3 linked regions of the Rhinolophus ferrumequinum genome follow. The protein of the gene in region 3 interacts with the protein of the main gene of each other region in a pairwise test. Links are inferred from orthologs where the notes say so. Each region holds a gene or a part of one and is shown on either strand. Other genes may lie near its edges.

Region 1 (3,745 bases), on a different chromosome or scaffold from region 3:
GCATGGCTGGATCCCCTGCTCTACCCCACCCCTCCTCTGAGGCTCTGGTGCCCCCAGCCTGCTCTGGGTCACAGGCTTGCCGCCCTCCCCAAATTCTGTCACCACCTTCCATACCCTCCTGTCTCCTGACCTCCCCATATGCAAGGTGCTGCTTCTTTCCCCATTTTGTCCACCACACTGGCCACCCTGTAGGCCCAGACATCCTGTGACAGCTACTCTCCAACAGTCCTCTCACCCCATCTAAGGACCTCTGCGCCCCACCCCCACCCCCAATGTGTCCGGCCTCCTGGCCTCATTTCCACCGTTGTTTATCTAAACGACCGGGCAACACCCAGTACCCTGGCCTCTCCCATCATTTCAGAGGATGCCAGGCCGTCTGGAACTCGACCCAGGGGCTGCAAGGCTGCGGGAGGTGCCTCAAAATATCAATGTCAACCGACCCCAGGCCCTAGGGGGCCCTCAGCACTGCACTCACTTCCCCCCATTTACGACCCTGCCCTCCTCTGAAACAGGCTTGACCTCTGACCAAGTGCACCGGCCTGTTCTCTCCTTCCCTCTGCCAATGACCGGCAGGGGACACTCGTCTGCACATGGCCATCTCCTCGGCATCCCACCCCCCAACCCCCGCTTCTGGCCGCATCCCTACAATCCGGTTCACAGCGAGTCCAAGGACCCACCTCTCCTCCCCACTCCCTCGCCGCCCCGCCTCCGCTTCCCGGGAGCCATCACACGCCCGGGTCCTGAGCACCGAGGCCCCTGGCTCTCCCCCTCCAGGCCGTTCCGTCCCCCTCCAGACCGCCTCGTCGCTGCTAGTTTGCACCTGCAGCCGCGAGGCCCGGCTCTCGGTCCCGCCGGTCCGCCGCCTCCCGGCTCCGCATCCAGCCACCGCGTTGCGAACCCCGTGGGGGACAGCACACTCAGTGGGAACGCCGGATCGTGTCTGCAATTCTAGACCCCCCGCGCACCGCCCGAACCACGGGAACCCGCACCGAGCCCTGGTCTCCGCCCGCCGGGCTCCACCCGACGCTCCGCAGCAACCCGCCCCTCGGCAGCGGCCCGCCCCCCGGTACCATTGGCCGCGCCGGCCCGCTTCTCGGCGCGATGATTGGTCAGCGTGCGGGTCGCTCAGGTGGGGCTCCGGCGGCGGCGGCAGCGGCGGCGGCGGTGGCGGTGGCGGTGGCGAAGGGAGCCGGACCGGAAGGGTCGAATCGCCCCGGCGCCCCTCACACCCACTGCGGCGGCGGCGGCGGCGGCGGCGGCGGGGTGGAGCGGGCGGGGTGGCCGGCTGAGCCCGGGGCAAGAGCCGCCAGCGCCGGCAGTCTGCCCGCTCGCTCCCTCCCCCGGCGCGGCGGCGGGAGGCGAGGTGAGCCCGGCGGCGGGCTAGGCCTGGCGGGGGCTGCTCGGGCCGCGCCCCGCCGGGAAGGGCGGCGGGAGGGTTTGCGGGGGGCGTGGGCGGTGTGGCCGGGGTCTGCGGCCGCTGGAGGCCCGTCTGCTGCCCCTGTCCCTCGGGCTACCGCAGTCTCCCCGCCCGCCGGCTGTCAGCAGCCCGGGGCTGCGGGCTCTTGCTGGCACGGCTCCTAGCGGCCCCCGGTGGGGTCTGTGGGCGCCACCTCTCCCGAATGTGCGGCACGCAGCTGCACACCCATGCCGGGATGCTCAGGAGCCGGGTCTGGTTCCTGCGACCTTGGCCATGGCACTGACGCTCGCTGTTCTCGGTTTTCCCCTCGGGAAAGTGGGGAAGTGCCTGCCCTTTGGGACAGGGTTGTTGTCAGGCTCTATGAATGTGTGGGAAAGCGCCTGGGCTGGAGCTCAGTGCACAAACCTGGAGAACTGGGCGGGGCACTGCCCCTTGCCGGTGTGAGTGTGGCAGGAACCCCTCACCGTCCTCCCAGAGTCCCCCATCTCCGTCCTCCTGTGCCTCGTCATTGCTCACTCGGTACCCAGCAAGACCAGAGTGGGTCCCACCCACCTCCCCTTCCAACCCCGACCAGAACACTGCTTTCCTATCCCAGCCACCTACCCTAAACATGCAGCCCCATTACCTTAGGACCTTTGCACTTGGTGTTTCCAGTGCTTGCAGTTGTCTCCAGGATCTGCACATCTGGCTCCTGGTTCTTCCTCTGGTCAGATGTCTCATTTAACAGGAGGCCTTCCTTGACCACCCTCTTTCATCCCTTAGTCATTTTATCTATCATTTTGTTCAGTAGCTCTGTGCGAACAGGTAGTTGTCTGATTTACCCACTGCTTTATCCTCAGTGCTTAGAAAGCACACAGTAAATACTCAGTAGTATCAGTTCAGTGGATGAATGAATGACCCTGCCTGCCTGTTACCTCTGCTTTATCTGTTCACTTAATGACTTCCGACTAACTTGTGAAACATGGAAGCAGATAGAAGCTTGTTCTCATTTTGTGAAACATTTTAATGTTCTTGACCCCTTTATTTGGTAACACTCAGAACACGCTATGATAGAAAAATCATACATTTTTATAATGTTTTAGCTCTAATTTCCTTCCACACATTCAGGAGGCATTTACTGAATTCTACATTATTTAGGTCAGGCTTTCTGCTCGGCCTTGGGGACACAAAGGCAATAGTGACAAGGTCCCTTCCTCTAGAGAGCCGGAGAATGCAGCCATGAAGGCAGACACGCAGACAGTGCCAGGACGGTGTGATGCCCACTGTAGTGGAGGGATTATGCCACGGAAATGTAGGGAATGTGACGGGTGATGCTGGCGTTGGGCCTTGAAGGGTGATGAGAAATTTGCCAGGCAAGGAGAGGCAAAGAACTGGAGAAGGGCAGGGAGAAGGAGGGAGCTTAGCGAGTGTGGGGTCAAGAATCAGCCCGTAGGGCCACCTGTAAGACATTGGGGGGCAGCAGGGGGGAACGGGACTCGAGAACCAGACCTCACCCAGTAATTTTTAAAAAGAAGCCTGAACTCTAAATTTGTAACTCTACTCTCCAGTTTTTTAACTGTTGGCAGTAGCTAATTTAGCCTTTTTTTTTTTTTTTAATTCTGTGAGCCAAGCAAAAAACATTTCATTAAGCTTGGTTGCAGGATTATCAACTTCTAGGGCAAGTTACTGAGGCGGGAAGAGCTGTAATGAGCTAGAAAGGTAGCCTGAGGCCAAGGGAGCTAGTTTGTCCAGGTACTCTCATTTACTTGTCACTGGAGCCCTGTAAGTGGCAGCTATGAAACCCATTTCTACAGAGGAAATGGGGACTCACAGAATCTCAGTAGTCTGCTTTACTGCAGGTTACTGGGAGGTGAAATTTGAACCCAGGTCTCCCCCAGATCATCATTCTTTCCTGGGTCCCTCAGCTGTGAGTATTCTTTGGCTTTTAAGTTGTTCTGGAAGAACAACATCCAATCTAGGTGTTTTCCTTCATTTAACTCTTTATTTTTTCCTTCATAAGGATCCTTCCTGGTTAACAATAATCCTATTTTGGCATAGGATTATTGAAGGATCAAAGGTTCTCTTCTATGGAGAACTTTGATTTTCCTGAGGATTTAATTTTCAGGATACCAGGACTTTACATAATTTGTTGGTAGATTACAATTTGTACTTGGCCTTTTGTGATTGTGTGAACTAATTTCAACACCAGCCTTTCTTTCAGCAATTTATTATGAGGACCTTCAAACATATATACCAAAAAAAACCACAAAAAACAAAAAACAAAAAAACAGAATAGTGTCAAAAATTATCAACTCCTGGTCAATCTTATTTCATCCCTAATCTCATCTA
Region 2 (3,745 bases), on a different chromosome or scaffold from region 3:
CATCTGGGCTGCCAGCCGGTCCTCCAGCCCTCCCTCCACCCATCTCCGGGGGAGAAACTGACCCCTGTCCCACAGCTCAGCCAATCACTCTGACACCTCCACACCTCCCTTTTCAGTCCCTTGGTTCTTTGAAAGCCTTGGTGTGACTCCTGGGTGAGGACTATGTAGGAGTGGATGGAGATACAGGACGCAGGTGCCACCCACTTAATCCCATCATAGGCTCCCACCTCTGTACCAGAAAGGAGATGGGCTCACAAGTGGCGGGCACACACCTGCCCACACCCAAGCTTCAGGGCCCCTGACTCAGGCCCTGACTCACCCAGCACCAGGCACACATAAGGAGGTGCACAGAGAACACAAGATCCTTCACGCAATGTCCCATCTGTCATGCTCAGTTTTATACCATCCTAAACAAAAAACTGAATGAAAACGCCCCAGTGCATCCCCGTGGATCTGTCACCAGGGAATCAGATAGAAACATACCCAGGGTATCTCAACAGCCCCCAGTGGCTGACAGTACATTGCAGCCTCCAAAAGGGACACCTGGGGTCATTCTGAAGTGTGCACATTAGTGCATGTGGGCATGAATGCAAGTACACACGCTGAGCTGAGGGGGCACCCAGGGCCAGGGAGCCACCACACACTTGTCCAGTCCCAGTCACCCACTGTTGCCCCTGCCCTGCAAGGGACACTGCTCGGCTACTTAACCTAAGAACAGTAGCTCTGGGGGCTACAGCAGAAATGCCACACAGAGTCGGGGGCTAACTTACTGCCTGAGTCCCTGTCACCCTCCAGGACCCATCTCATTATGGTGCAAGCTCCGCCACCTGCCATCCCAGGTCCACAAAGGCAAGAAGGCAGAGAGCCCCAAGGTCCCCAACAGATGGCCCAGTGGCTCGCATGGAACAAGGTGCATACACAGCACCATCAGAGGCAGACACGGGGGGCTATCATTATGTGTCTCCATGACTCAAACTCAATTATTAGAACCTGCCATTAAGATTCCGCAGACACAAGGCTGGCCCCCCCTTTGTCTGAGCAGAGCTAGTGGGAGGATCCGGAGAAAAGGGCTTTCGAGATGGGGAAGGGCCCCAAGAAAAACAACAATGCAGATATACATGCAACTTAAAGCCACCAGACGCTTTCAATGCCTCATTTTATCCCAACTCGGTGAGTGTGGGGACACTTTTTTCCAGACTCAAAGGGAGAGAAGTAACTTGCTCAAGGTTTCACAGCTACAAATGGCATTTGAGGCGCGACCCCTATATCCCATCTGTCTGATTGCATCCACTCTGTTTCAGCTAGGGAGAAAATTTCTCACTGAGACCAGCATCTCTGCCAAAAGAACCTCAGTGAGGGTTCCAGCAGAGGAGAGCTGAAGGGATGGCAGCTCTGCATGCCAGGCCGGGGCGGGGGCAGAATCTCTGCCAGTCTAGGACCAGGTGTGTGCCCCCTACAGAGCCCTAGCTCCGCCCATCCATGCCTGACTCTTGCTTCTCCTCTCTCAGGCCTCCCGCAAGCCCCCAGCTTGCCTCCAAACACATGGTGGAGGTGGATGTTCCTGCTCTAGTCCCTGTCCCCACCCACAGCCCACGTTAAGGGGCAAGGAAGACACCGTGGCAGTTGTCAGCCCTGGAACAGGCCTTGGAGAGCACATTGTCCAAACTTCGACTTTTACACAAGGGAGAAACTGAGACCTGTGTGGGGGAAGGTGGTCCCTTCATAGCAGATCTTGGCGGAGGCCCCATGCCTGGGGACTCCCAGCCTAGTACTTTTCCAAGCTGCCCTGCCAGGATTTGGGGGTCTGTGGAATCTTGAGGTTCAAAGTCCCAGAGGGGGCAGCTGGTGAGACCCCCAAGTGGTGGTTCTGAGGCCTTGAGGGGTCACAGAGATGAGTTGTCTCTTTTCTCAGCGGCCAAGGAGACCGGAACATGATCAAGACCCCTGGGGTCGCCCCCAGCCTGTTCGTCTTCAATCGGTCCTTGGCCAGGCGTACCTGGGCCTCTGAACAGCGTCCTTGGCCTGGCCAGGGCCTACCCTCTTTCTGCCCCCACTCCCTCCCCAGCTCCCCTGCGCCCCTGACGGTGGCGGCGGGCTCAGGCCACAGTGCCAGCCAGCACCTGGGGCGGTCCTCTCGTGGGCCCGAACCTCACGCCGCCATCCAGTCCCCAGGGGCGGAGAGCCACCTACTCACCGCTCGGGGCGGACGCTGGGCCCAACTCCTGGGTCCCTGTAAGCGGAGCGGTCGGGGCTCCGGCGGAGTTAGTTCCCGGGCCAGCCTGGGTGAGTCAGGGCGGGCGGGACAGGAGCCGGGAGCCGCCCCACCCGCCCCGCCCACCTGACGTCTCGGCCCTGCCTCCCTCAGGGCGCTCCCAGGTGGCCCCCGACTCCTGGCGCCCGGGGATCCCTGGAGGAGGGCGACCCTAATCCTGGTCTTCCCGAGGTGGGCCAGGGCCCGGCCCCAGGAGCAGGGCCTTGAACTCAGGGCTTGGCTGCCATGGGGCAGAAACTGGACTGGTACATACTGAAGGGGTCGGAGGCACTGCGCACCCAAAGTCAGCCTGCAACATCCTTCTGGGAACCTGGGGAAGGCCTCCTCCTGCCCCCACCCCAAGGTGCAGCCACCTGGTTTTGAGGAACCTGCAACCAAGGTCCACGGGAGAGGGAGGGGGCTTCCCTGACCACCCACCCAGGAAAGCCAACCTGGGGGGTAGGGTGGGGAGGTAAGGGGAAGGGCGTGGATGGGAGGTGCTCGCCTGTCCGACCCTGCCCAGCCTTGAGGCTGGCTTTCCACTGGGGGAAGATGGGAGTTAGCTGCTCCCAGGTCCTTAGGTGGGGGTGGGGGGGTGCAGAGGCCAGAGGGGCTCTGGGTGCTGGGGCTAGAGTCCAGTCTGGGAGGCTGGCTTCTAGAAAGGATGATTCTGCCTCCCCACCCCACTCTTCTCCCTCGTGCTCACCCTTTCCTCCCTACCCAGGGAGGCTTGCTCTCGGTCTTAGACTAGCCAAAGGACCGATTCAGCCCACAGGTCTGTGTGAATGAACCTTGATCTGCTTTGTCTGCAAAACAAAGAGGATTTAGACTAGAGTGGGAGCGTGAGACCCCTCCCCCACTTGGCCCCAGAGTTCACCAGATCAGCAGCCTCCTGAGACCTGATACCTTGAAGGTTGGAACGCCCTAAACTTAGGTTCCTCTGTGAAACCCTGCAATGGGTGCTACCCTCTAGGACTCAACCTCTGTAAAGTCCTGGGTTATCCTCTCCTTCAATGGCCTCTTCTTGCCTCCAGAGAAGCGCCTTGGTTTCCATGCCCTGAGGTTTGTTTCCAGCTTGGTTTTGGAATGAACATCCAGCTTGGCACCCTTATGCAAGAGTCTGAGGTCACTGGGCTGGAAGCCTCATTAGCCCCAGACACGGGTCCCTTCTGTTCCCTGCTGTGTCCCCAGCACTTGAAATGGTGCCAGACACACAGTTGTGGGCATTCAGTTAATGATGGATGGGTGGATGATCGAGGTGTTATCTTAATTGTGGATTTTCTGGTTGCAAACCCTGAGACAAAGAATTGGGTGCAAATAGTTCATCTGGAAGGTGATCCCCGCTAGCACTAATGGTGGGGCAGTGGGGAGATGAGACTGGGAAGGGAGGGGAGCAGCAAGCCTTAATGAGGGTACATCAGTAAGGATGAATGAGAAGGTTGCTACTGTGGGCAACCGGGGCTCCCTTCTTCTGAGGAGCTCTGGGCAGTGGTG
Region 3 (3,745 bases):
AACCTAAGGAAAAAAGAGGTCACATAGTGAGTGACAGAACCAGATTCAAACTCAAATAAGGTGACCTGAGAAGCCTGAACACTTAACCCTTACAGCATAACAGCTCCTACCTTGTCTCCCTACCTCCCCCCTGGACCCCCACCATCCTCCAGACTGCTGCAGATATCTTTTTGGAAAACGCAACTGTTATCGTGCCATTCTCCTGATTAGAATGAGCTCAGTATCACTGGCTGAATAAAGTCCAATTTTCTTAATTTGGCATTACAAAATCCTTCATGCTTCTGTTGAAGTCAGTTCAATAAACATTTGAGCATCTACTGTAAGCAAGGCAAAGAGCTAGGTAAGTGCCCTGAAATGAATAACACAGCAGCCCTCGACTATGATTCCAACCCCAGACACTGGACTTCAGCCAGAGTAACTATAATCTCATAATGCAACACCCTCCATGCCAGTCCCCCACATTTTGCCAGAATGCACCTGGCAAAATCCCACACCAATTTGAGGCGTCAGTGCCTGTGTGAGGCCTTTTCTAACACACTCCAAGCAGACATGCTCCCTCTCTTAAATTGCCACTGCACTTTGTTCAAATTACTTTCAAGTAGCCGTAGCCAGTGGAACAGAGGTATGGATGGATCAGCTTCCAGTGGGACTGTGACAACTCAGGGGAAGAGCTGACTGCTGCCAGAAACGCCTGGCATGCAGTCAGCTCTCTACCAATTGCTGAATGAATTAAAAATGAAAAATGTCTAACCTGATGAGAAGAGGAGAGACAATATACAGAATTAGGAATGTTAACACACAGGGGGGCCAAATTAAAAGTAGTGTTATTCTACCTTGGTTCCGATTTGCCCTACATTTTACCCTTAGGGGAAAACTCACATGTGTAACTTGGACAAACTAAAAAGGCAAAACTTTGTTATTCGTGGCTCAACAAAGCTTTGACAAGCCAAAAAGGATATCAGATCAAACAAAGTCCATTTTCCAAAGAGGTGTGGAGATGGGAATCAAATCTATCAAAGTAAATAAAATTGATCTACTAAGATCCAACTTCATCAATGCTGTGTCACAATACACTGTAAGAAAAAAAAAAAAAAAACCTGTCCTGGATGAAGGCTAATTTACAAATATGAGCTATGATCAAAAGATACGGTGAATATTTAAATTAAGAAAATTTATTACAGTAAAAGACACATTGCCATTAATTCCCCTCAAAATACTACCCCTCACTTCAAATACACTTATCCCATCATTCTTGTCACTTTCTGGAAGTCCTCTTTCATGAGTATCTTTATTTCATCGTCCATCATGACAACGCTCTGTCACACTTCGCTTCTGGCACGGCAATTTCTATCAAATAAACACATAACAGTGTGTCCTCATCCACCTTATTCCCCGGATCTGGCACTGTGCGACTTCTGGCTCTTCCCCAAAGTCAAAATGACCCTGAAAGGTAAACGTTTTGAATCAATTCAGGACAACGAGGCAGCCACAACAGCGCAACTAAAGACACTTACGAAAGAGGACTTCCAGAAATGCTTCAGAAAGTGGAAAAACGATGGGATGAGTGTGTTCAAAGAGACGGGGATTGATGGCAATGTGTCTTTTACTGATTTTTTTTTTAATTTAAACATTCACCATATATTTTGATCACACCTGGTAGGTACTACTGCGGCAAGAATGGAAAGTTCTTACAGTGAAGACAGTTCCCATAAACCGGAGCTCACAACTGTCTCTTGCACTGTCACTGCTTTTCACTCAACTTTGTTTCTGGTTCCTATGATTTAAAAATATCTATACAGAAACATCTATACAGTTAAGCCCGTGTGTGAGTGTACTGTAGCTCCTGCAAGGTACAGACGTCTTGATTCATAGCCTTAGATGTAAAACTGAAATAGCGAGAAAAACACTACATACAGCCAAAAGTCCTTCGCCTAAAACATGACATAAAGCTTCGCAAAGCGAGTGATGTATTTCCTGAATGGTGCTTTGTGTGCAACTGCTTCCAAATCAAGCTCCATATTTTAAATCCCCATCCCCCCAAAAGTCAAATCTCTCTCCCACCCTCTCTAGCCTAAAGGGAAAGGTGAGATTTACAGGCAACAGTTGGCTGGGATGGAGGGTATGATCTCTCCCCATTCCTTTCTAGGCGAACAAGATGCAATGTAAGGCAGCTACTCACAGTCTCACGACAACATACACACAGGAAATAAAAAACAACTCATCCCCACCTCTCCCTTCCTTTAAAAAAAAAGTCAAACGATGCAAAGATCAGCAACACGGCCGCCAGAACCACCAAATGGTAACAGTCGGGGGCCGCCCGCCTCTCCCAGGCGCCTGCCGGGCGGCGAGCACTGGGCGCAGAGCAGCCGGTCCCTTCCTCCCCGGACAAGCGCGGCCAGCCCACCACACCCCGGCTTCCCCCGCAGCCCCAACAAGCGGGGAGGAGAGTCGCAAAGGAAGGCTGCGGCGCCGCTCCCACCGCCTCCCGGGCTCGAAGCTGCCCCACACCCCACCGACGCCCGCACCTGAGGCGGCTGCCGGGGACCCAGCGGGAAGGCGCGGAGCGAGGCGGGCCAGGCAAAGTTACTCACTGGGAAAGAGAAGCTGCCCCAGGCGCGCAGCGGCTCCCGGCGCCGCAGCCCAGAGTCAGCTCCGCTCTCCGCGGCCCGCTGAGGGAGCCCGGAGCAAGGCGGCCTCGGCTCCGCCGGGAATCGCCGCCGCCGCCGCCGCCGCCGCGGATTTCCTGGCAAGAAGCAAACTCTGGCCAAGACTTCACTTCTCAACCGCCCCTGCTGCCTTCCAGGGGGCGAGCGCCAGGGCCCAGCCGCCCAACCCGACACGCACCTGGACCAATCGGCGGCGGCACGGGGCGGGGAGAGGGCGTGTCAGAGAGCGGCTCCGCCTATCCGAGGGCTCAGGGGGCGGGCCTGGCCGGGACCGTCATTCCCGGGTTAGAGTGAGCCCACTCCGCCCCGCGCCACCTGCCCTCCCCCACCGGCTCCCCGCTGGGCTCGCCAGCTAACCCTGCCGAAGACAGGCTCCAGAAGTGTCTCTGGGCTCTCCGCTGACAGCCGCCAAGAGCGTAGAACAGCCGGGAGAGGCAGTGAACATCTAGGGGAATAGGGGGAGAACAGGTGGCAGGAAAGCAGAAATGTAGGTGTGCTGGGCGAGAGGACAGCTGGGGTAGGGTGGTAGGGACGGGGGTTGACCAGGGAGAGGGGAACTGGGAAGCAAGAAAGGGAGGAAAAGGTTATTAGCGAAGAATACCCGTGGGGACGGAGAGAGGAGAGGTCGAAGGAAGAAGGGGGCGGAGAGCGAGTCTGGGTGGAAAGGTTGCGGAGGCGGGGGCAGAGACAACAAAGGTGAGAGGGAAGTTTCGCAGGTGAGTAGGTGGAAGAAGCCAAAAGGGCAAAGGGAAAAGGAAGTCCAAATCGAGGGAGGACGTACTCTGGGGGTAGAAAAGATCCTAGGAAAGGATGGGAGGGAAAAGTTTCCTTCCAAACTCTCACTCCTCCGGCAAAAGATAGACAAACATTTGTCGTTTGACCCAGCTGAGATGTGCAAAGATTCCCCGATGAGACAAATACCTTCTTAAACCCATCCTATTATGTTGTGAAATTCAAGGTGTATTGATCAACTACAGTTTAAGTTTGTCGTCCCATAAAAACCCCCGAGGGTTGGGGTCCCGCCTGGGAATAGCATCGTCCCCCTTGGGCCTAGCAGCAAGCCAAGAGGTCCAGTTATG

The links.
Region 1: the proteins of LNX2 (region 3) and MAPK9 interact in binary tests that used the Homo sapiens proteins (3 or more experiments, as listed by UniProt). The link is inferred for Rhinolophus ferrumequinum from reciprocal best matches to the Homo sapiens genes LNX2 and MAPK9.
Region 2: the proteins of LNX2 (region 3) and LRRC8E interact in a two-hybrid assay, tested with the Homo sapiens proteins (3 studies listed by BioGRID and IntAct). The link is inferred for Rhinolophus ferrumequinum from reciprocal best matches to the Homo sapiens genes LNX2 and LRRC8E.

The regions. Positions count from the first base shown.
Region 1 is NC_046307.1:3,356,032-3,359,776, reverse strand, and holds the start of MAPK9 (mitogen-activated protein kinase 9), read left to right. Parts: upstream 1-1,203; 5' UTR 1,204-1,363; intron 1,364-3,745. UniProt on the Homo sapiens protein: Serine/threonine-protein kinase involved in various processes such as cell proliferation, differentiation, migration, transformation and programmed cell death.
Region 2 is NC_046301.1:56,866,921-56,870,665, reverse strand, and holds the start of LRRC8E (volume-regulated anion channel subunit LRRC8E), read right to left. Parts: upstream 2,285-3,745; 5' UTR 2,195-2,284; intron 1-2,194. UniProt on the Homo sapiens protein: Non-essential component of the volume-regulated anion channel (VRAC, also named VSOAC channel), an anion channel required to maintain a constant cell volume in response to extracellular or intracellular osmotic changes.
Region 3 is NC_046287.1:99,650,191-99,653,935, forward strand, and holds the start of LNX2 (ligand of Numb protein X 2), read right to left. Parts: upstream 2,722-3,745; 5' UTR 2,592-2,721; exon of another isoform or gene 2,526-2,591; intron 1-2,525.